3 linked regions of the Drosophila melanogaster genome follow. The protein of the gene in region 3 interacts with the protein of the main gene of each other region in a pairwise test. Each region holds a gene or a part of one and is shown on either strand. Other genes may lie near its edges. The genes, in order: azot, CG4286 and CG12470.

Region 1 (6,731 bases), on a different chromosome or scaffold from region 3:
AGTATAGGACTGAAAAAGTATCACCTTTGCTAATGGAAATGACAATGAAAAGAAATTTTTTGAATCAACGACAATACTATATGGAAAATCTCAAGAAAAGAAAGTTAAAAGCACCTGTTTCAGAAAAAAGGGAATTAATCTCCATAACTAAGCCCAATCAAAGCGATTGCGAAGCGAAACACAGAAGTCACAAAGATGTAAATTTGTATTCTCGTTACCCCAAAATCATTTCCGAAACCCTTGAGAACCTTACATCCCCCCTTCGATTTGAAAACTACACACGAGAATTATTAAAGGCTTACAAGGCACTCGATGTGACAAAAATGATATCACGCTGTTATCAAACACTTTTTGAAGCCGAGCAACGAACGAATGGAATATTTCCAAATACCTTTGATCCTTAACCGAAAATTTGTCGACTATAAAGTATCTGAATCTAGTCAATCAATGAAGATACAGAAATGAGCATTTGACTGCATATAACATGCGCGAGAAAATGAATGAAATTGGAAAAGAAGCATTTTCTTTCTTTGGATTCATCAATTAAAAATGAGCTCTGTGTTTAATTCGCCAGGAGTGCCAGGAAGTGAACACAGAGTTCATTTCAGATGAATTCAAGGAAATGAAAGCTTATTTCTATTAAAAATTCACCTATGCTTGGTAAGCATTATATGTAATAACCAGCCAAAAAGTGAGTATTGTTGACTACTTAGTTTGGGAAATGCCGGTCGAATAAAAATGAATTGTTCGTTAAGAAAGGCAATGTCACTTTTGCCATCAATCCCAATTCAGGTGGTAATTACATAAATTTCCCCGATGTGAGTGCCATCAACGGAATGCCGTGCAAATGACAGTTATTAGTACACGAGCCTAGCCCCGAAGGAGAGCTTGGGGGTTGGAGGTTTGAACGTACGTTTGATTGATTTATATTGGCGTCAGGCAGTGACTGAGGAACATTTCTAATGACAGTTTTACATATCCCTATGACGCCACCACCACCACCACCACCCATCCCACCCGACTCACCGATCGGATCGATGCACTCGAGGGTGAGGCAGCACTTCAGCCAGGGAAGCATGATCTTCTCGGCCACCAAGGAGCTGTCCGAGAAGAAGACAGCATCCAGGTCGACCATCCGAAGAAAGTTAAACTCCTCAGCTTTCGACTCAAAGTAGTCGAACATTTTTGGATGCGTCAGAGAGGATACCGCCGTCGCTGTGTTCCATCCGAGCACTCCAGCGGACTTGACTGCAGATTTTCCCACTCCTGGATTCATAACGATGCTCTGCAGACTTCGCAGCTGGGCGGAACCTCCGCGCACGCGCATGCTGTTTTCCAAGAAGAGAACCGATCGGGCACGCATAAGACCGTCCTTAATTACAATGGGCCGGTAGGCGTGCGTCCGCTGATCGGCGACGAAGGAGGGAAACTCCGACAGATCATAGGTGATCACCGAGCATCGGCTGTTATTACAGTAGGCGCCCAAATCCCGTAGTTGCTCCTCGGAAACGCCCAAATCGTAGATTAGCAGGTACTCGCTGGGAAGCTTGGCGGCAATATTCTGGGCCAGCAGGATGGCCGATGCGGCCTGCCCCTCCAGCACATAGCTGACGATTGTGAAGTTGCTCTTTGTACCGTTGTACGGCGTCGTGATCCGCTTCCGCTGCCCCTTTTGATCTCCTGCCTGACTACCGAAGGTAACAGCATCCTGTGGACGCCGCAGACCTCGCAGTTCGCTGAGCTCCAGTTCCGCTTTTGTAGCCGGCGCTGAAAAATCTGTCTTTGGCAGTTGCTGACCTGGTGAACCGATGTCCACCACATTTTGCTGATCCAGCTGCTGCTGTTGGCCTGTAGCTTCATTTGACGAGGTGAAGCCCAGAAGAAGCAAATACTTTGGGTCTATTTCGAGCTTTTTGCGTTCCAAGCCAACGCGGAGGTTTTCCTGCAAGAAAAAAAATTAAATTTGCAATAAATGAATATTTTTGGTTTATCCAAGAAATAAACAAGAGATTTATTATTTAAGTTTTGACATACGGTTCCCGAACCCCACTCTTAGAAAATTATTTATGTCGGGCCAGGCGGCGTTAATGGTCAAAAAATATGGCCAGAATTTGCCTCGTCATAGGAACAATTCCGAAACACACATGTGAGATATGTTTCCATTATGGCCCTCTAGCACACTTCCTCTGTTTCGCCGAAACTAGCCCAAACAAATACCCAAACACAACCAAAAATCAAATGAGCCGCACAATGGAACCCTCTCGTGCCGATGTCAAATTCTTGTCTATTATTTGCTTAGACTGTGGCCAGAGTAAAGCGTGCCGCATTCTCTGCCCACCCCCCCGGGCACTACCACTCCTCCGGCAGCCAAAAACCGGTGTCAGGTGTGTCCCACTGCGGTCAGGTGAAAGGGCCGAGGGGGAGAAGCACTGGAATTAACCTGCGGCAAAAAGGCAGCCGCCAAAGTTGCAGGCTAGGCGCCAAACCCAAATCGCATGACAACCTTTCTGTGCCGATAGCAACCACTACACTTGTATGGCAGTACACTCAAAACACTCTTGTTAAGTATGAATAGTATGGTATGCTGATTCATAGATAGATTATTTAATGTATAGCAAAACTTACGAATAAGTTTAAGCAATCAAGAACAAAATCTTACATTTACATTTTTATACCAGTTACTCGTGAAGCTAAAGGAGTTATTCATCCAGATCACTAGTCGATCTGGATAAGCCCGTCTGTCCTTCCGTCTGCCTGTCCGTCCGTATGAACGTCGAGATCTCGGGAACTATAAAAGTTCACTAATGTTGTTTTCATTCTACACAAATATTTTGGCGTTGCAAACTTCTGTTGAGTTCTTGTATTTCGAATAGCGAAAAGATGAGCCTTTTTTTTCTTGAGTGTGCGTTGGAACAATGACGGTGATTGTACACATTCTTACTCCTTAACTTTCCTCGAACGGCACTCTCCTTCTGTTTTGTTAACGAACAACGAAAGATACTAGCTGACGTCCGTTGCTGGGTCGCAATTGAAACCGATCAGCTGCAAGGCCTCCTCGCCCAAGGACATTCGAATCAATCAACTCTGTCCGTGCGGCACTGCGCTTATATAACGAGCATATTGATTTTGTGCCATTCGGTGTTGTGCACTGTGCAGCGCAGTGAAGCCACCGGGGGATGTTCATTTTACCATTTTTCACATTTCACTGAGTTCAATGTCAGGACCTTGTTTCATCCAAACATCAGTTGACACCTACATATAAACAGAGCAATATACAACTCTTCCGAGAAACTATAATATACCAGTTAAGATGGAGGATATTTCGCATGAGGAGCGAGTCCTGATCCTTGACACTTTCCGTATTTTGGACAAGGACAACGAGGGCGCCATAACATCTAAAGAGATGGCGGTGGTGATTCGCGCCCTGGGTCGCCAGCCCAACGACGCCGAGGTTCAGTCCATGATCAATGAGGTGGATTCGGAGGGAAACGGATCCATCGTGGCTCCGGAGTTCTGCAATGTGATTCTGCGCAAGATGCGCGACACCAACCATGAGGACGAGCTGCGCGAAGCTTTCCGAATTTTCGACAAGGATAACAATGGCTACATTACCACCACCGAGCTAAAAAATGTGTTCACCGCGCTGGGCGTAAAGCTCAGCGACGACGAGTTGGAAGAAATGATACGCGAGTACGACTTGGATCAGGACAATCACTTGAATTACGAGGAGTTCGTCAACATGATGACAATGCGATAGCCTCCATGTGAGTACTCGTATAGAAGGCTGGCTTGATTTCTATCCAACAAAAAGTCGGCGTTCTGTCTGTGTTCAGTTTAAATTCTTTATGTTCACACTGACAAAAGCACATGAAACATTAGTCCACTACAAAAAAAAAAAAAAAAAAGAAAATCACTTTGGAAACAATGAGCGGCAGTTTGACCGAGGCCCAGATTGAAGAAATTCGAGAAGCATTCAGTTTGTATGACAAGGAACGGTCCGGATGGGTTTCCGTCCAACAGCTCGGCGGAGTAATGCGGGCCCTTGGAGAGAGTCTCACCGAGGCGGAGATCTACGACCTGGCCAACGAAAGTAACGCCGACTTCGGTGGGCAGGTGCAGTTCAAGGACTTTCTATACGTGATGAGCAAACGGCTGGAGGAGCAGAACAGTCTGGTGTGCCTAAAGCAGGCCTTCAAAATCTTCGATCGCAGCGAAGTGAACAGCTTTACAATTAACGAGATCAGAATGGTGATGACCAACCTGGGCGAGAAGATGTCCGAAGAGGACTTGCGCGAGTTGTTCCAGGACATTGATCAGGACAAAGATGGAAAGATCTCCTTCAACGAATTTGTTACCGCCATGCGAAGCTAGGAATTCCAAATTGAAGGCACAAATTAACCACGAACCCCTTTCGAAAGAGCCCAACCCAGTCGCGTTTTCCCTACGCCTAGGCGGCACCACTTGAAATTCCCAACCAAATTCCTTTGGCTTACTCAACGCAGCGCCAGAAAGTCGGCTGTTAAACCTTGTCCGAAGAAGTCCACTTGTGTGTGTCCATGTGGCACGGCGCGTGACTCCGAAACGGTCGCATGTGCCTAATGGCCGCTGGGGAGTGCCAGGATATTCGAAAGGGTGATGGCGATGGGCCAGAGCAATCATAAAATCGAGCCACGCTGATTACGATGCCAATTTAAATATTTGACCATGTGCTGGACTGGACTGGACTCGCTGGTTTCCTTTTTGTCTGACCAAGTTTACAAGTGGCATGATTTTGGGTTCAAGTCTTATCGCACCTTGCTCTTTTTAAATTACCTTGTTATCTATTGGCACCCTTAATACGCATACAACATACATTGTCCATGACTCATTCGGCAATTATAAAAGCCCACCTTGGCAATAAAATATTGTCAAGTGACTAGTGACTAATAATTTGTAAGGGGGAAAGGTTTATAAATTTGAATGCGCCTTCGTGCATGGATTTCAGAACATATATAAAAGAAAATCATGTATAGAGAAAGAATAATTGATGCCGAATTCGGAGAAATATTTCGGGGCTGGGATGCATTACTCGGAAAGATTTCACGATTTCGTCATTGCTAATCCTATTTGTAAAAGGTAAATACCCACAATAACCCCAAAAATACTTAATTATGCTTAATTGAAAAATTAAAACATTAGCTTCTTTATTTTACATCCACTTACAGTTAACCCACGGACTTATTAATGTTAATCAAAAGTCGAGAGGTCATTCCGACGTTCATATGTTTCTAGCGCTTCATATGGATAATTTAAATAGGTTATCGTTCAGCTACAGTTTAATTGCATTGCTCTGCATGTGAGTGGCGGTGCGACATTGAACCGATGGCTATAGGCAATCAATAGCGCCTGTTTACTCCTCACACAGGTAAATATGGAATACGAGTAATCGCTGTGCAAGCGCATTGATAAAGCCCGCGCTCCTCGCTGTAATTTAAGTCATTGATTAGTGTCGTCCATTAAGAAAGTTGACACAAATTGTCACAAATGGGGCAGCATTATAATTTGAAATTAGAAAAAAAAAAAAGAAAACATTCAGCTTATTTCCCAGCAATACTCCATAATTGGCTAATTGACTAAATAAATTTCTGCTCGACTTATATATGAGTTTCGTATACCCACAGTTTTGATTCGAATTGTTGTATTCAATCCCAGCGCACCTGTTTGATTCCCACGAAGCGAACCCTCGGAATAAGATCCAAAAGGGTGGGATTTAGCTATACACGTACTTCCGCATGGAAAGTTTATACTACTTTTAGGTAGTCTCCGGAGTTGTTATTTATACATAGGCACGCTTTAAAAATATATAGTTCATAATAGAAAACACCCTAGCTGTGCTATGAATATGTCTTAGTCACAGAAATGATTGTGCACTCACTGGAAGTGTTCGACATGCATCAAGTGCTGGCAGTCGAACAGTCAATCACTTTAATTGTAAATCTATATGCTAGCCTATATTAGTATGATGTGGAAATTTATTCACACACATATCGTTGTGTATGTAGCAGTACTGGTGCACAAACCAGTTGGGTAAAGAATGCATTTTAACAAACGAACGAGCAATGCCTTAGATTTTGATGCAATTGTGGGAACTAGTTTACAGACAAAGTAACTTCATATGCGTTGAAACGCCTTTTCGGGTGGAGAAGATACGTTGATCCCTATCAAAACAGTGGTATTACTAATTAATGCTTCCATTATCTCAGTTTGTCATGATAGCAAAATCGTAGGTTTCTGTTTACCTCGTTGAGATAACAGCCAGTTGTAAACTTTGAAGCAGAGACTCGGCGTTTGGGCACTATTAAAATTGCCTTTATGAGTACGTGATGGGAAAAGAACACCTTCTTTGCGTAGCTAAACATGAAATGCATAGCGATGATTTATAACCATCTTGCTATGCAATCTATTAAGTTTTCCCTAGACGCAAGAAATCCTTCAGCGACGTGGTCTCGGAGCCGTGGTTAACCGCAGGTTACCCAATAGCTCATCGGGCTGTGCAACCGGACTCCGGCCGGAATCTAATTAGTGTAAACAGTAAACGCTCTGGCAGGCGAAACGTAAACACAGCCAGCAGTGGCCTCGAGTTTTTGTTTGCCAGAGCACGGCCAAAAGTGTTCCGAAATGAACCCGACCCTGGTCAACACCCGTCCCCTTTGCCTCTCTGCCTTCCAGACGCTTATGTGAGTGATGCTGAT
Region 2 (6,877 bases), on a different chromosome or scaffold from region 3:
CAAAGCCAGGCACCAACGTTTCCTTAATGGCCGTGTTTTCTTCTTATCACTTTTGCCTTTCTTAATTGTTATATTTTGGAAATACATATGTTTACTCTGTCAGAAGTTATGCCAATAAAGTATCCAAAATGCTTGACCGCCAAACAAGTAACCAAATTCTGTTTCGATTTCCTGGAGTCCTCGGACCAATCAGCTGTCGAGCTTAAAACGGAGCCGAGAGCCAAAAGCTCCAAAGCCCAAAGTGCCCCCACAATAGCCGGAGAGCAATTACAGTTAACGCAAAATGATAAAACTGTCGAGCATTGCTCGCCCTCTCTCTCTCTCTCTCTCTCTCGCGGCAGAACTTTCGATTTTTCATAATAAAAAGGTTACAACTAAATCTCAGGCGGTTTAGTCGGCAGATAAATTCGGAGCGAGCGCGCCAAATACAAAAGTCCGCCACGCGTTCAGAGCCCCAATCTCAAGTCCCATAGTTCAAACAGTTCCGAGCCCGTGTCCTCGCAGAGTCCACCAATCCCAGCCAAACATCAACTCCAATCAATCGAACATGAAGCCCCAGACAAGCGAGCAAAATGGCAGTGGCCAAAATGGCGAGGGTGCCGCAGATGCCGTGGCCGTTGCCACGATCCCCACGGGCGAAGCCTCCGCCGCCTCCGCCACGTCCGGCACCGATCTAACGGTCTCCAAAAACAGCCAGCAGCTGAAACTGGAAATGCTCAACTTGGAGCTGGCCAGCAATGGAAGCGGTGAGTTCTCCGGAAGAATGCCACAAACGGGAACTCTTCCTGGTTTGAGAAAAGTGCGTATACGCATAGTGGGATTGTTTTGATGAAGTCAAAATAAATTGGTTGTTAATTAGTTGGTGTAGAAATTCGGTTTCCATTCCAGGCTATAAATTAGTATCTCCCACTTAAGGGACTTTTTGCTTTGTGATTTGAAATCCATATCTTGGATGATTAATTGTCCACAAGTGCACTAGCATCTTTCCATTTCGAAGTTCTTGGAATATAGTTAGTAACGTTTGGTGATCTTCGTCAAGAAGGGGTTTATCCAGAAGCCTACTAAAGTTTGGTAATACCACAAACATGATTCATCCTTATCTGTTTCTGTTACCATTTCATTTCTTCTGAATGCCCGCACAATTTGGTTGAAGAATTCAAAGCTAACCCTTGATAGCCAGTAAACCCGATCTAGTTTCCGGGTAATACAACCCCTTGAACTGGCTAACATCGCGCGCAATGCAATCTGGCTGCCATATTGCATCAGTCATAGGTTAGTTGGGCCGCGATTGAAATTCAATCAAATGCGCATAATGCGAAGATTCCGATTTCCGGCGATGCTGGGCCTCATAAATCCGAGAACATAAACCACAGAGATTCGAGAGCCACGATTTCTGTCCCATATGCAAACCACACGCAGTGCCGGATATCGAGAGTAACTCTTGTTGTGTCCATACCAAACAAAAAAAAATAATAATAATAAAAAAAAAAAAATAAGAGAGCTACTAGCTGTGGCACTGACTGGGCTTATTGACATTGACATTGAAAGATTTGCTCGGTACATGGCACTTGGCTGAACGGATCATATCGGATTGGATTGGATCGGCAGATTCAACGAGAGCTGAATGGAGTTCGGGAACTCTGGGCCATGAGCCAAAGACAAAGACATAAACCCCTTTGGCTTGTGATCCGGTATTTGATTTCGTTTGATTTGGCCAAAACGTAGGGTGGTTAGTTGGAATGGGGGAGGGGGGAATGGGCCTGAACTACTTTTGTGAAGGTTAAAAAAGTGTTTAATTGCGAGTACGGTGCTCCAAACGGTTTCGATTCGTGGGTCTTAGCCACTAGCCACGGTTTCAGTTCAGTTTGAGTTTCAGTTTCTTCGATTGCCCCTCAGTTTTGAGCTGGTGTCTGTCGGCTATGGTGACTAATAGGCCTGGCCGCAGTACTTCACATTTGAGCGATTGCGGTCAATAAAACAAAAAAAAAAAAAAAAAAAAAACAAAGACTGAACAAAGCTGGCTGGCTGAGAGCCGAGGCGATCCAAGCTAATTGAGGCACTTAAAAAATTCTCCGAGCGAATTCTCCCAAGGCGTGGTGGCAACCCTGTCAGCACGGAATCCCCGATCCCGATCCCGATCCACAGACCAACGAATGGGGGGGAATGCATTCCTTATTCAGATCAAATGCCGTAATGGTTAATTGTGCAGCCCAGAGAGCCGGAGACAACACCTGCCCTGTGGAAAATGTTAATGATGCTTTAATTGCACCGCATGAGCATACGGGTCGACCAATCCGGAAGAAACCCATTGGAGCTCAACGATTTGCATTACATCTTTACAAGCGGTTTCAATTCAGACATCCCTCAAGTCATCTTCTTTAAGGGTTGCATGCACATATATAAGTACTAGCGAGGTATCACTGTACCTACGTCACATAATCTGTAACGATAATCTGCAGCTGTCTTATACTTATGTAAACTAAACCAGCCTGTGCTATTCCCAACTGATTTATTCGACCCTAAGCAGCGGTGGAAGGTTTTAATGTGCTTTACATTCCTTGTGGTTTGTACTTTTTTACAAACCCACCAAAATCTATTTCTCAGGACATATATATGTATATACATATATAAAGAATAACCTTCAACTCCATGCCATAAACAAGAAAAGTGCTCGCGATAAACCACGAATACTTTGCATGCAAATAAGATTCCGAATATATGCAGAGAATAATCAAATTTGGCCAGCTGGAGAGACTAGCTACTTTCAATTGAAGCCCCACATGTGGGATGCAGGGTTTCCCGCACAAAATGAGGACACTTCTAAGTGGGGTTAATGCTTTATTGATCGGCGTTATGTGCCAAAAAGCTGCACCCATCCAACCATTCCCTCACATAATGGTCTCCTCCTCCAGCATGTACTCCGTGAGATCGGCTTCGCCCGACAGCATGGTCACCGGCACCCGGTTCATCTGGGCCACCCGTTGACTGGGCCAGACCATCACGTCGCAACAGTTGGTCAACACGACCACATTGGTGCTCGGCGTGTTGGTGCACATCAGGTTGCCGGCCTTCTCCTGGTCGCACTTGTTGAACTTGCGCCGGAAACGGAACTTCACGGGCAACGAGTTGCCCATCACGCTCTCTTCATCGAAGTACGGCGGCAGGGATTTGTTGAAAGCCGGATTTGTGATGGCCGGCTTGGTTAGCTGATAGATGAGTGGAGTAACATCTAAATCACTGAAGCACATTGAATGTACAGATCACTCACCTCTTCGAGAACCACGGAGGTCTTGAGTCGGCGACAGGGATCACAGTAGTCGGAGGCCAATGTGTTCTCCGGTGTCTTGGTAGCACATGGATCCGGCTTGGGTTCGGGCACATTGGATCCCAAACCACTACCATGTGGCCCACTGTCACTGTCACGTTTACCCTTCGGATTCATGGGATCCTGGCCGCGCAATACGCATTCCTGCAGGAACTCTTCCTCGATGTCGATCAGTTTCTTGATGGCACAGTCCCGCTTCAGGAAGTTCTTGATCACGGACAGATTGCGGGGCACGGCGCCGATAACGTCGAAGTCATCGCTACGGAGCTGGAGGCGGTGCGCCATGACTTTGGTTCTCCAAGATGAATGGAGGGGCGGATGGTTGGAAGGGGGTTCGAATTTGGGGGAGTAGCTCGTTTCGAGTGGAATGTTTAAATGAACTACAACTTGACGTCTGGCCCCAAGTTGAGTGGGTTTCAAGGATATGCAAACAATAGTTGAGATTAAGTTGGCGCCAAGGATAAAGTGCACGTTTGAGGGCAAAAGCTTGGTACACTCTATTTAATAATATATATTAAGGGTAAACGCTACACTTATCCCAATAAGGTAGCTTTACTTTCCTAACAAGTAAATTGACCTACCACCCAAAGCTAGTTTTTAACATTTGATGGCACTATTTTCGTGGCTAGTGCTGTAGTTCTATCGCCTCCTGGCCGAGCAACAAGTTCGTGCGCGGTTTTACAGCCACTGGATGCCAAACCGTGGGCCTGCGCTCAGCTCGGTTTAGTTCCGCTCACTTAATCTCCGGCAAGCGAAACTCGGAGCAGAGCTTGCCCGTTGGATGGTCTGTTGGCTATTGATTGGAGCTTTCCGCCGCTCAAAGCTCCGCTCGAGAGGTTCTTATTGCCACCGCTGGCCACAGCAGCCACCAGAAGAGCAGAGCCACCCGAAGCGCCAACACGCGAAGACAAAGTCCGGCAGACAGCAGCGCAAAAAGAGACAGATAGCAGTGAGAAAATCATCGAGGAAAAAAGATTGTGTGCTAGCCGTCAAATTGAGTTCCATTCGAGTGGCAAACAAACCTGAGTAGCCGCACCGCCATGAGCTTTACCCGCCAACTGTCCGAGATGAGTGCCAGCGAGCTGAACGATGCCATCGACGACACCAACTTCCCGCAGGCCCACATCCTTTCGCGCGGACGCAACAACAGCGTCTGCTCAACAAGTAGCACCTCGGGCACCTCCTCGCTGGCGGACAGGCAGCAGAACCAGGCGGAGGAGGCCACTGCCATTGCGGGCACACCCGTCGAGGAGGTGGCGCCAGCTCCTGCTCTCGTCCCGTTGGCCGGCAACCAGAGACCCCGCCTCATCCTGAAGACCAACGGCAGCAGTCCGGATAGTGATGGTACACAACCGAAAACACCACTGACACCGCGTACATCGACAACGCCAGGTAGTGGTGGGTAGTGGTCCAGGACCAGGTCAGGGGATCCAGAGCTATGTTTGCTGCGACCGATTTAGTTAGTCAATGAACTAGGAGGAGGAGGAGTGCTTGACAAACTCTTTTTGAGCATAAACCGTACGCCTATCAGTGGGTTAGTGTTTCGGTTCAGAGGTCAGAAGATGCGCCTCGGAATGGGGAATAGTACTTAGACAGCCACACACAGCCAACGAAGGGGGGCAATGCCTTCCTATCTCGCATGATAACGATTCTCATCATGTTTCCATCCGTATTTCCATTTACAGGCCACGAGAAGTGCACGTTCCACCACGACCTGGAGCTGGACCACAAGCCGCCGACGCGAGAGGCCCTCCTTCCGGACATGGCACGCTCGTATCGTCTACTCTTGGGCGGCCTGGGCGAGAATCCCGATCGCCAGGGACTGATCAAGACGCCGGAGCGGGCAGCCAAGGCCATGCTGTACTTCACCAAGGGCTACGACCAGAGTCTCGAGGGTAAGCACACCACACATTTCAAGCAATTAGCACCGGGTCAGTGATCGAAGTTGCTCATCCTGGTTTTCCCAGCGAGTGGGAACTAGTTTCATGTCGGTGAATCACCATTTACGGGGGTTCCTCGGTCCGCTATGGTGCATTAGCCTAATTACCTGACCACTCGAGAGATAAAGCACATGAACATAGGGAGCCATTAGGCAATTTCGGGCTTGTCCAATCAAGTGGACGCATCCAAAATCCATTCAATATCCTATGAAATATGAGATTTGACTAGTAAAGTTTTTGGTCTCATGTTTGGCGTGCATTTCGACTTGCAGTCGCTTTTGAACTTGTCATGTAATCAATGTGAGTCGTTTGAGAAACAAAACAGAATTGCGAATTATATGGTTGCTACACCAGCATACCTAACCGGTTGCCCGAGAAATCAGGTTCTACGGTTTGTCAAATAAAATCGCATGTAAATTTAAGATCAACAGCAACAGCAGCAGGCCATTTGAAAGCTAAATTCGTTGAACGAAAGTGAATAGCCTTCGGCATCGGCAATAGAATGGGTTGGATTGTGTTTAACCCGAATTCAAAGAACCCAAGAAGCCGAGCCAACGTGACTTGCCAATCTGGTGTTGGGGGAACTCCACCCCCCTCCCCACCACACACACAAGATGCTTGTTGGATTGTTTGTTAGATGGCTCACTGGCTACTTGGCTACTTCTTGGCTTCTTCGCTGGTTGGTCAGGAAACGCACTGAAGCTTTCCGGTCTGTATATTAAGAGCGGTAAAGTGGGTGGGTGTGCGGTGCGGCGGCGGCTTCTATTCAAGGAATGGGAATCTCAAGAGCACATCGTTTAAAACGAGTGTGGCGAAAGCTCACACTCCACAAGAACCATAAGCCCATCCAGTCAAGTCAAGTCAAGTCAACCTCCCCCCAAGACCCGCAACCTCACACACGCACACACACACACAAACACTCGCTAAGCAACCACTTTAGCACTCACAGTCGCTTGAACTTAACATTCAGTATTCAGTTATGCAGCAAATAAATCTAACACGAATTACGCGCGCCATAAATCACGGGTAGCGAAGGAACGCCACTTGAGTAGCTTCGTGGTTGTGGGACATTGGGCGAACTTTTCAATAACGACTCCGTGGCGCAACGGTAGCGCGTCCGACTCCAGATCGGAAGGTTGCGTGTTCAAATCACGTCGGGGTCAGGCGATGATGAATTCCTTTTTCGTACTTTTTTTTTACTACACCATTTCAAATTTTTTTTAATAGATGTTCTCAATGGCGCCGTTTTCGACGAGGATCATGACGAAATGGTGGTGGTCAAGGATATTGAAATGTTCTCCATGTGCGAGCATCATCTGGTGCCCTTCTACGGCAAAGTTTCCATCGGTTATTTGCCGTGCAACAAGATTCTCGGACTCAGTAAATTGGCACGGTAAGATAAACTTAGTAATGCATATTAGATGATCTTTCATATAATTTGCGATCCCATAGCATTGTCGAAATATTTTCGCGTCGCCTGCAAGTCCAGGAGCGCTTAACTAAGCAGATCGCAGTGGCCGTGACTCAGGCCGTGCAACCCGCTGGAGTAGCAGTGGTCGTAGAGGGAGTGTAAGTATTAAATATATATACATATATATTTTAAAGAATATTA
Region 3 (6,967 bases):
AAGGGGAGGTTCATGCCAAATATATATAATCATGTCAGCGACTGACGCAAGATGATGTTGCAAACTGGCAACTAAGCAACAACAACATCAACATCCAGCATCGAGTGTCATTGACTAATGTTGCATGCAGCGTATAAAGCTGGTAAAAGGTAACCGCAATAACCAAAAATTCAATCAACGAAAACCCAAGACCGAAACAATAGAAGCGAATTTGCTGTTTTTTAGCAAAGCGCAAAAAGTTTTGGAGATGATCTAAGTCCAGGCCACTTATAAAGAAAAAAGATAATGGTATTGGTATAAAGGAATGTATTCATAAAACCTAAAATGAAATAAAAAAAACTAATCATTTAAAAGACGAAACCATTTTTTGTGTTAGTAAATATTATTATTCGAGAAGTAAAAAGTTTCGAGCGGGGTCATCGGTGCAAGTACATTTGGGGAATTTACTTGAGCTTCAAAAGGGGAGATGACAAAGTTTTTGAGTCTGCAAATAGTTGAGGGTGAGGTGTGCATTTATATAAATGGTAGGCTGACATTTGCCGACAACGTGAAAGGGCAAGTATATATATTTTTCGGAAAATAGATACCTTCGTCTTTGTCTGTCGATCTGCGACCCATGTTTCCCTCGATTTACACTGGACAAAAAAAAGTACTAGCACAAATCTTTATGGATGTTCGTCGAGAATATACATTTTTTTTTTTGGGGTTAATAAATGGTTTAGTGTGCACTATAAACTTTTGGAGTTAAAATATTATATATTTAACTCTATTTGCGTGCCTCAATCTCGATCCTCCGATCGATTGGGTCTTAAAATGCCGCGCAGCCATACAAATACGCTACTCGTTGTAAAATGTTAAATGGGACATGGCTAGTCAAGGAGTTTGGATAGTTAAAAGGTACTCACGGGAGTTAAGGAGGGGTACACGAGTTATGGTTAGGGAAACCGGACACTTGACACACCGGCGAAACAGTGGCCTAACCAGCCGAGCCTTCTCTCGTAGCCCGGACAAATGTCAAGTAAATATATATTGCTCACAAATCGCATCCACTAAAAAATAACAATATATAAATTATAAGAAGTAACGGTCTGTCTAATAACCTATTATATTATATATATATATAATTAATTAAGATGTTAATAAAAATGTAAGAACTTTAAACATTATTTCAGAATTAATTAAGATGTTAAAAACAATTTAATTGTGTTATAATATAAACATTTTCAAATACTGAAAATCTGTTTGAAAAATAAAATTTTTCAGTTTAACATCTCATAATCTATCAACAAGTCGACTACTTTTATAAATATTCAAATATCGTGTGGCCGGCGCTTGTTTGGCACTTTATTGCAAATGCTTTGCGGTTTTCGCAATCCATGGGCCTCCAAAAATTGACCCCTTACTTGGAAGGTTCACCTTGTTTCTATTGGGTTTCTTCTTTTTTCATTTTGTAGCAAGCAATAATAATTTGAGGGATTTGTTGTGCACGTTAAGCTGGAATCCTCCGCTTCATTCTTTTGAGCCGAATATTAGCAAAATGATGCACATGCATAATTTCCATACCACTCAAATGAATGGAATTAATCGAACGCTAATCGACTTGGAATCTGTACTCTAATTGACAAAATTCTCACACCCTGTAAGTCTCTAATTTTTGATATTATATTTACGATTTGTATTTTATCCACAGTAATATTGCAATAATTTATGTCGACTATTGTTATTTAACTTCTTTTGATCGTACGCTAACCTCAACTTTCCCAGCAAAACTCTACAAAAGGATTAACTTCGACATGCAAAATAAACGCTTTGGTATATCGCTATCACCGCTATTGGTATTAGAGCTATGCAAATTTGTTTTAGTTGCTTTCAAAGAGATTATTATTTATTGATAAAGATTGTGCCAAAATATGTTAAATGTTTAGAGCAAAGCTTGTCGTCCAGTATTATCCTCGTTGTGTATGCGTTGCCCTCTTTTGTTAGAAATCATATGGGACCTATTTAAGCGAATCGCATGCATTTTGCCTTTTGGGTGTACGTTACAGCGCCATACTCCTCCACAATCTGATCAATGGCAATCTTGTTTAGATTCTCCAGATATAGACGCGTCTTTCGAGACTGGATAATATAACTAATAACGTCGTGCATATTATCGAAGAAAAGAAATCCAGCAGTTCCGCAGCTGAGGTCTAGATAGCGGAACCTATTAACATCGCAGGTGCATCCATCAAACAGGAAGTAAATAAAGTCATTATTGTTGTGATACCGGAAAACCACGTAGTTGCCCCAAGGGGCCATCACGAAAACCCGCTCGGCACACCGGAATCCGGCTCTCAGGAGCTTGCAAATGCTATCGTAGCATCCATTCTCAGAGCCCACCACCGCCATTGTTTCCGGAATACGAAGAAGAGCCGGGTAATGATTCGGTTGAGCCCGAAGGACATCGTGGGGTCCGCTAGACTCTGGACAAGCGTCAAGTGGTTGCATCTGCTTTGGTGGTTCCGGACACGGAGGACATGGTGGCGCTTCGATGGGAGCCACAACTGCGGCGGGCTTCTTGCCCTTCTTTCCTTTGCCCTTTTTACCCATGGTTAATCGAGTCTACGATCTCTGAAAGTCGCGCAACGCACAAATTAGAAATGCCTCTGCGTTTGCTTCCGATCACTTGAAAATAGTTAACGAATCAAAGTAGCATATATCCTGACGTCTGAAATACGCATTTAAAAAAAAAAAATATTAATTCTTAAGTTAACCCCAACCAAATACTCAGTAAACACTGTCCCACACATATAGAATTACGACTTCCAATTGTGTGCGTATGTCATGTGAAACCAAATGCAATTCGGAAATGGGGAAAAAATTTCAGTAATATTCGGAATATGCCGAGCTTCCAATAAGACTCACCAACTAGCTAAACACGATTTGATTTTGGTACACACACCGTTCTCTTGTATTCCTAATTTTAAGTTTGGCCAAAAAAAAAATTTTGTAAATCTGGTCGAGAGCGAAGTTAAATTTTGTACAGTTTTTTTTCCGAGATTTTTTCGTGTGCTTTGTGTGTTCACAGACAATTTTACTTCTGATGTTTTGCCATATGGCTGGTGATAGCCAAGTCCAAATACTGACAGTTTCAGCAAAGCAACGTGATCTAAAAAAAAGTAAGAAAGCCATTCTATTTAATAAACCAACCCAGAGTAGGCTACGTTTGGTGCTCGTAAACAGCTTAATGCATATATAATTGCCAGTTCTTATTTTATTCAATTATCGTTGTATCACAACTTAAGGGACAACTAAATCTACTACTTTCCTTTATCTGCTGGAAGAAGAAAAATATGGAAATATTAAAAAAAATATCTGATACGATAAAAGTACCATTGAAATACGAAAAACGCGTATTTATTAATTAAACATTATCTAAGCTTCAAATGATGGCCTTTTATGAATGGACCAGTGGAATAAATCTCAGGTTTTTGGCTAAATGATGATGACACCACCATTATAATCGCAACCATACTAACCTAATGGGTTACATTTTATGGCTCACAGCGGTATCAAACGAATACGAATCCAAAAGAAAACACTCCTTCGATTATTGCTTCATCAAAAAGAAATTCTCAGCTAATGGGGTAACCCAACCTGTCATGCCGGCAAACGTGAGTCGGCAGGTTTAGGATACCCATATGGAGGAAGATATCGCTCTCTCCCACTCTCTATATACAAATGTGTGCAATCTTCAATGGTATTATTTAATCAGTTGCTTTAATGTGGGATGATTAGATAAGTACTAGAAATAAGATTCATTTACCGCATAAGTACTTTAACCTACATACAGTTTAACCTTTATACAGTTCAAATTATACTTCTTATACCCGTTACTTGCAGACTAAAAGAGTATACTAGATTCGTTGAAAATGTATGTAACAAGTAGAAAGAAGCGTTTCCGACCATATAAAGTTTATATATTCTTGATCAGTATCAATAGCCCAGTCGATCTGGCACTGTCCGTCTGTCCGGCCGTATAACGTCGACATCTCAGGAATTATAAAAGCTGGAAGGTTTATATTAAGCATACATATTCTAGAGACAGAACCAGCGCAAGTTTGTTGAAATATTACCACGCCCACTCTAAGGCCCCCAAACCCCCCAAAACTGCCACGCCGACACATTTGAAAATTTAATTTTGTAAATCTATCGATATGTTATCTACATATATCCAACTCCAACGCACTTCCTCTAGCGGAGTAGTAACACGTATCTGTAAGCCGACAAGATCGACTGAATCGTTTTCTCCTTGTAAATTCACATGGATATGTTGCCTTATACAGATGTCCAAGTCCTTCTTAAAAAAAAAAACGGCATGTTAAAAACGTAAAAAAGTACATGCTCATAAAATTGAGCTTTTTATCATAAAATAAAGATTTTTAGCTTTAAGCCGCGAAAGCTTAGTTTGGAGTACTTAAGCTTTAAGGTGCTGAATAAGTTTGCAGAGGAGAAATTGCGCATAATTTATCTCAGAGAGCGGAGTTATTTAGCACCTCTCCGGTAGCCTTCCCTTTCTTTTTTTATGACTGAAATTAATCTTCATTCACTGCAGGAATATAACAAATGGTTTGCTGATTGTTTACACATGGGCTATCCTGCAGTTGTATCGGTCAAAATAAAATACAGCAATAAAATAGAGCAATCGAAATTTTGATAACTGTGGTACCAAAGTGCAACAACCTAAAAGTCGACGCCAACGAGTCTAGGGCAAACAAAAAATAAGAACAAGGTCCAAGGCATTGGGTCAAAAGCCAAGTAAAAAAAACAAATAGAAGGAAGGGAGAACGTTATATACAAGAAACTCGACTATCCAATACCCATTATGATAACATAAATCAATAAATAAAATTCAGAATTATGTTTTATAAGTATGGGCAAATTAGGGCGGTGCAAAATTTGTTTGGCTAGAAATTGAATTGGATAGAAATTGACAATACAAAAAACTAAATTAAATTAAAAAACTGCTTTCATACGGACAAAGGGACATGCTCAGATCTGGGCTAGTGATCCTGAGGAAGGTATGTATATGTATGTATGTATATATAAACGTCATAGGGTCTAAAATGCTACAACGAATCTAGAATACAATTTTACTCTACGTGTAAATAAAAAGCGGGAATATCAACGGGAAAAATCTCTGACAAAACATACTGTAACCACTTTTACCTGGGAAGCCTACACTCCCCCAATTCTGTGAATCTCCCTCCTACCCGCTGGCCAGATGACCAATGGCGAATAGATTGGGCTAGACCACGGGACGACGACGGCAAAGTGCCTAAAGGGACTTAATCTGCTCGTTCATATAATCGCTGTCGCCAGCATTCCACGCTCCTAAATAATTATTTGCATATTTATAACATGTGTGCCAGGCCTTTTCTTATACACCCGCTAAAGACATGATCCGAAAAAAACTGCTCTCACTGGAAAGAAGAAAACATTAAAACTAATAATAAATGTTTCCCAAGTGATTATCTTCCTATAATTTCTTTCACGTGAAAACTTATAAAATCAGACAAAATAATAAACAAAAAAGCGTTTCTGACCCATTACATCTATATTCTAGCTCAGTATTGATCTAGTCATGTTCGAATGTCCCTCCGTCCGTATGAAAAGAACTCGAAAACTATAAACCGAGAAAATGGACTATAGCGCTCATGTTCTTTTTAGAGTAAATTGTCTGAGACTGTTGACAGGAGAATTGACTTGAGATGTTACTGTCTATGCTCTTGTTTTTGACGCTTTTAGTAAATTCAGCTGGGCACCTGTTGAGTGGGCGTGGCTTCCTGTTAAAGTTGTGATGACAGTGACGACATGTCACCGGCTCTTTGACTGCTTCAGCCTCTGTCAAGTTGTACTTGTCACGCCCATGAGTCCGCGATCTACATATTTTATTTCGTATTGCACAGCATGCAGAGCTTTTGAATTTTTATATGGTATGGACCGATGGTTTTGTACCTATGTACTCTTTGTTGACTATTGCTTTTCAATTCCCAGCATTACCTTTACAAACTTTTTTTACAACGCCCCATGGCTATGAAATTTTATGTGTTCATTTTTTATATCATAAAAGCAAAAGTTAACTGTAGTAATTTAAACTTTTAAACTAAAAATTGAAGCATAGGGGGAACTCTATTTTTAAGAACCTCGACTATCCCAATTAAAAAGAAATAGATTTGCTTTAACTTTTCCATGAACTATTTTACTGGGCTGGGTAAGTGCTACAAAACAGAAAAAACACAGTTACCCAATATCAAAAGATATAACAATATGCGTTGTGTATATATCTTAGTAAAGAAGTTTTTATTAAGAGGGATATATGAACAGCGTTCAATATATTATATAGATTTTTAGAGGTTAACTTAAGAATAGGGTTAGGTGTTACAATGAACTTTATTGCTTGCGATGCACGATAATTGCAACATATTTCCAGGGGAATCGAGGATTATTGCTGCCAGCTTGTTATTAATCATTAGCTTTTGTTGCCAGCAAAACATTAAAAAACAAAATCTGATTGAAAACCAACAAGGCGCAAGGCTGATATTTTTTTTTTCAAATGCGCCCAAGGGATTACACAGGCCCAGAGCAGAAAATAAAAGAAAAATCGAGGGGGTGAAAATAGTGAAATACAATGAGGACACTGTGTCTAAGTATTCAACAACCATGGTGAGCTTTAGTCTGCTCTGGATTGTGCCTAATCCTGTTCCTTGTAATGTTTCTGATTCATATACGTCCAAACACTTTATTTAAAGAGACCCCCAATGCTTTATTCGGCTAGTAATCCTGATATTGTCAGTCACGTCTGCCAACTATTGAAACATCACACAAGCCACCAAATTACTGCTCTCTTCCATCCTTTTGTATTGATTTACATAATAATAATAATCGCCAAGTAAGTTACTTGTAGAGATTGAAGGGGTATATTGGA

Evidence for each region.
Region 1: the proteins of CG12470 (region 3) and azot interact in a two-hybrid assay, tested with the Drosophila melanogaster proteins (2 studies listed by BioGRID).
Region 2: the proteins of CG12470 (region 3) and CG4286 interact in a two-hybrid assay, tested with the Drosophila melanogaster proteins (2 studies listed by BioGRID).

What each region holds. Positions count from the first base shown.
Region 1 is NT_033778.4:7,946,579-7,953,309, forward strand, and holds azot (ahuizotl), read left to right. Parts: upstream 1-3,260; 5' UTR 3,261-3,310; coding exon 3,311-3,757; 3' UTR 3,758-3,887; downstream 3,888-6,731. Other genes in the region: CG14764 (uncharacterized protein), read right to left, coding at 1,027-1,942; CG34431 (uncharacterized protein), read left to right, coding at 1-404; CG30378 (uncharacterized protein), read left to right, coding at 3,925-4,371.
Region 2 is NT_033778.4:21,174,928-21,181,804, forward strand, and holds CG4286 (uncharacterized protein), read right to left. Parts: upstream 3,710-6,877; 5' UTR 3,611-3,709; coding exon 3,269-3,610; intron 3,207-3,268; coding exon 2,889-3,206; 3' UTR 2,827-2,888; downstream 1-2,826. Other genes in the region: Pu (punch), read left to right, coding at 4,366-4,717, 5,011-5,220, 6,493-6,658, 6,718-6,834.
Region 3 is NC_004354.4:303,830-310,796, reverse strand, and holds CG12470 (uncharacterized protein), read right to left. Parts: upstream 3,114-6,967; 5' UTR 2,905-3,113; intron 2,708-2,904; 5' UTR 2,590-2,707; coding exon 2,002-2,589; 3' UTR 1,862-2,001; downstream 1-1,861.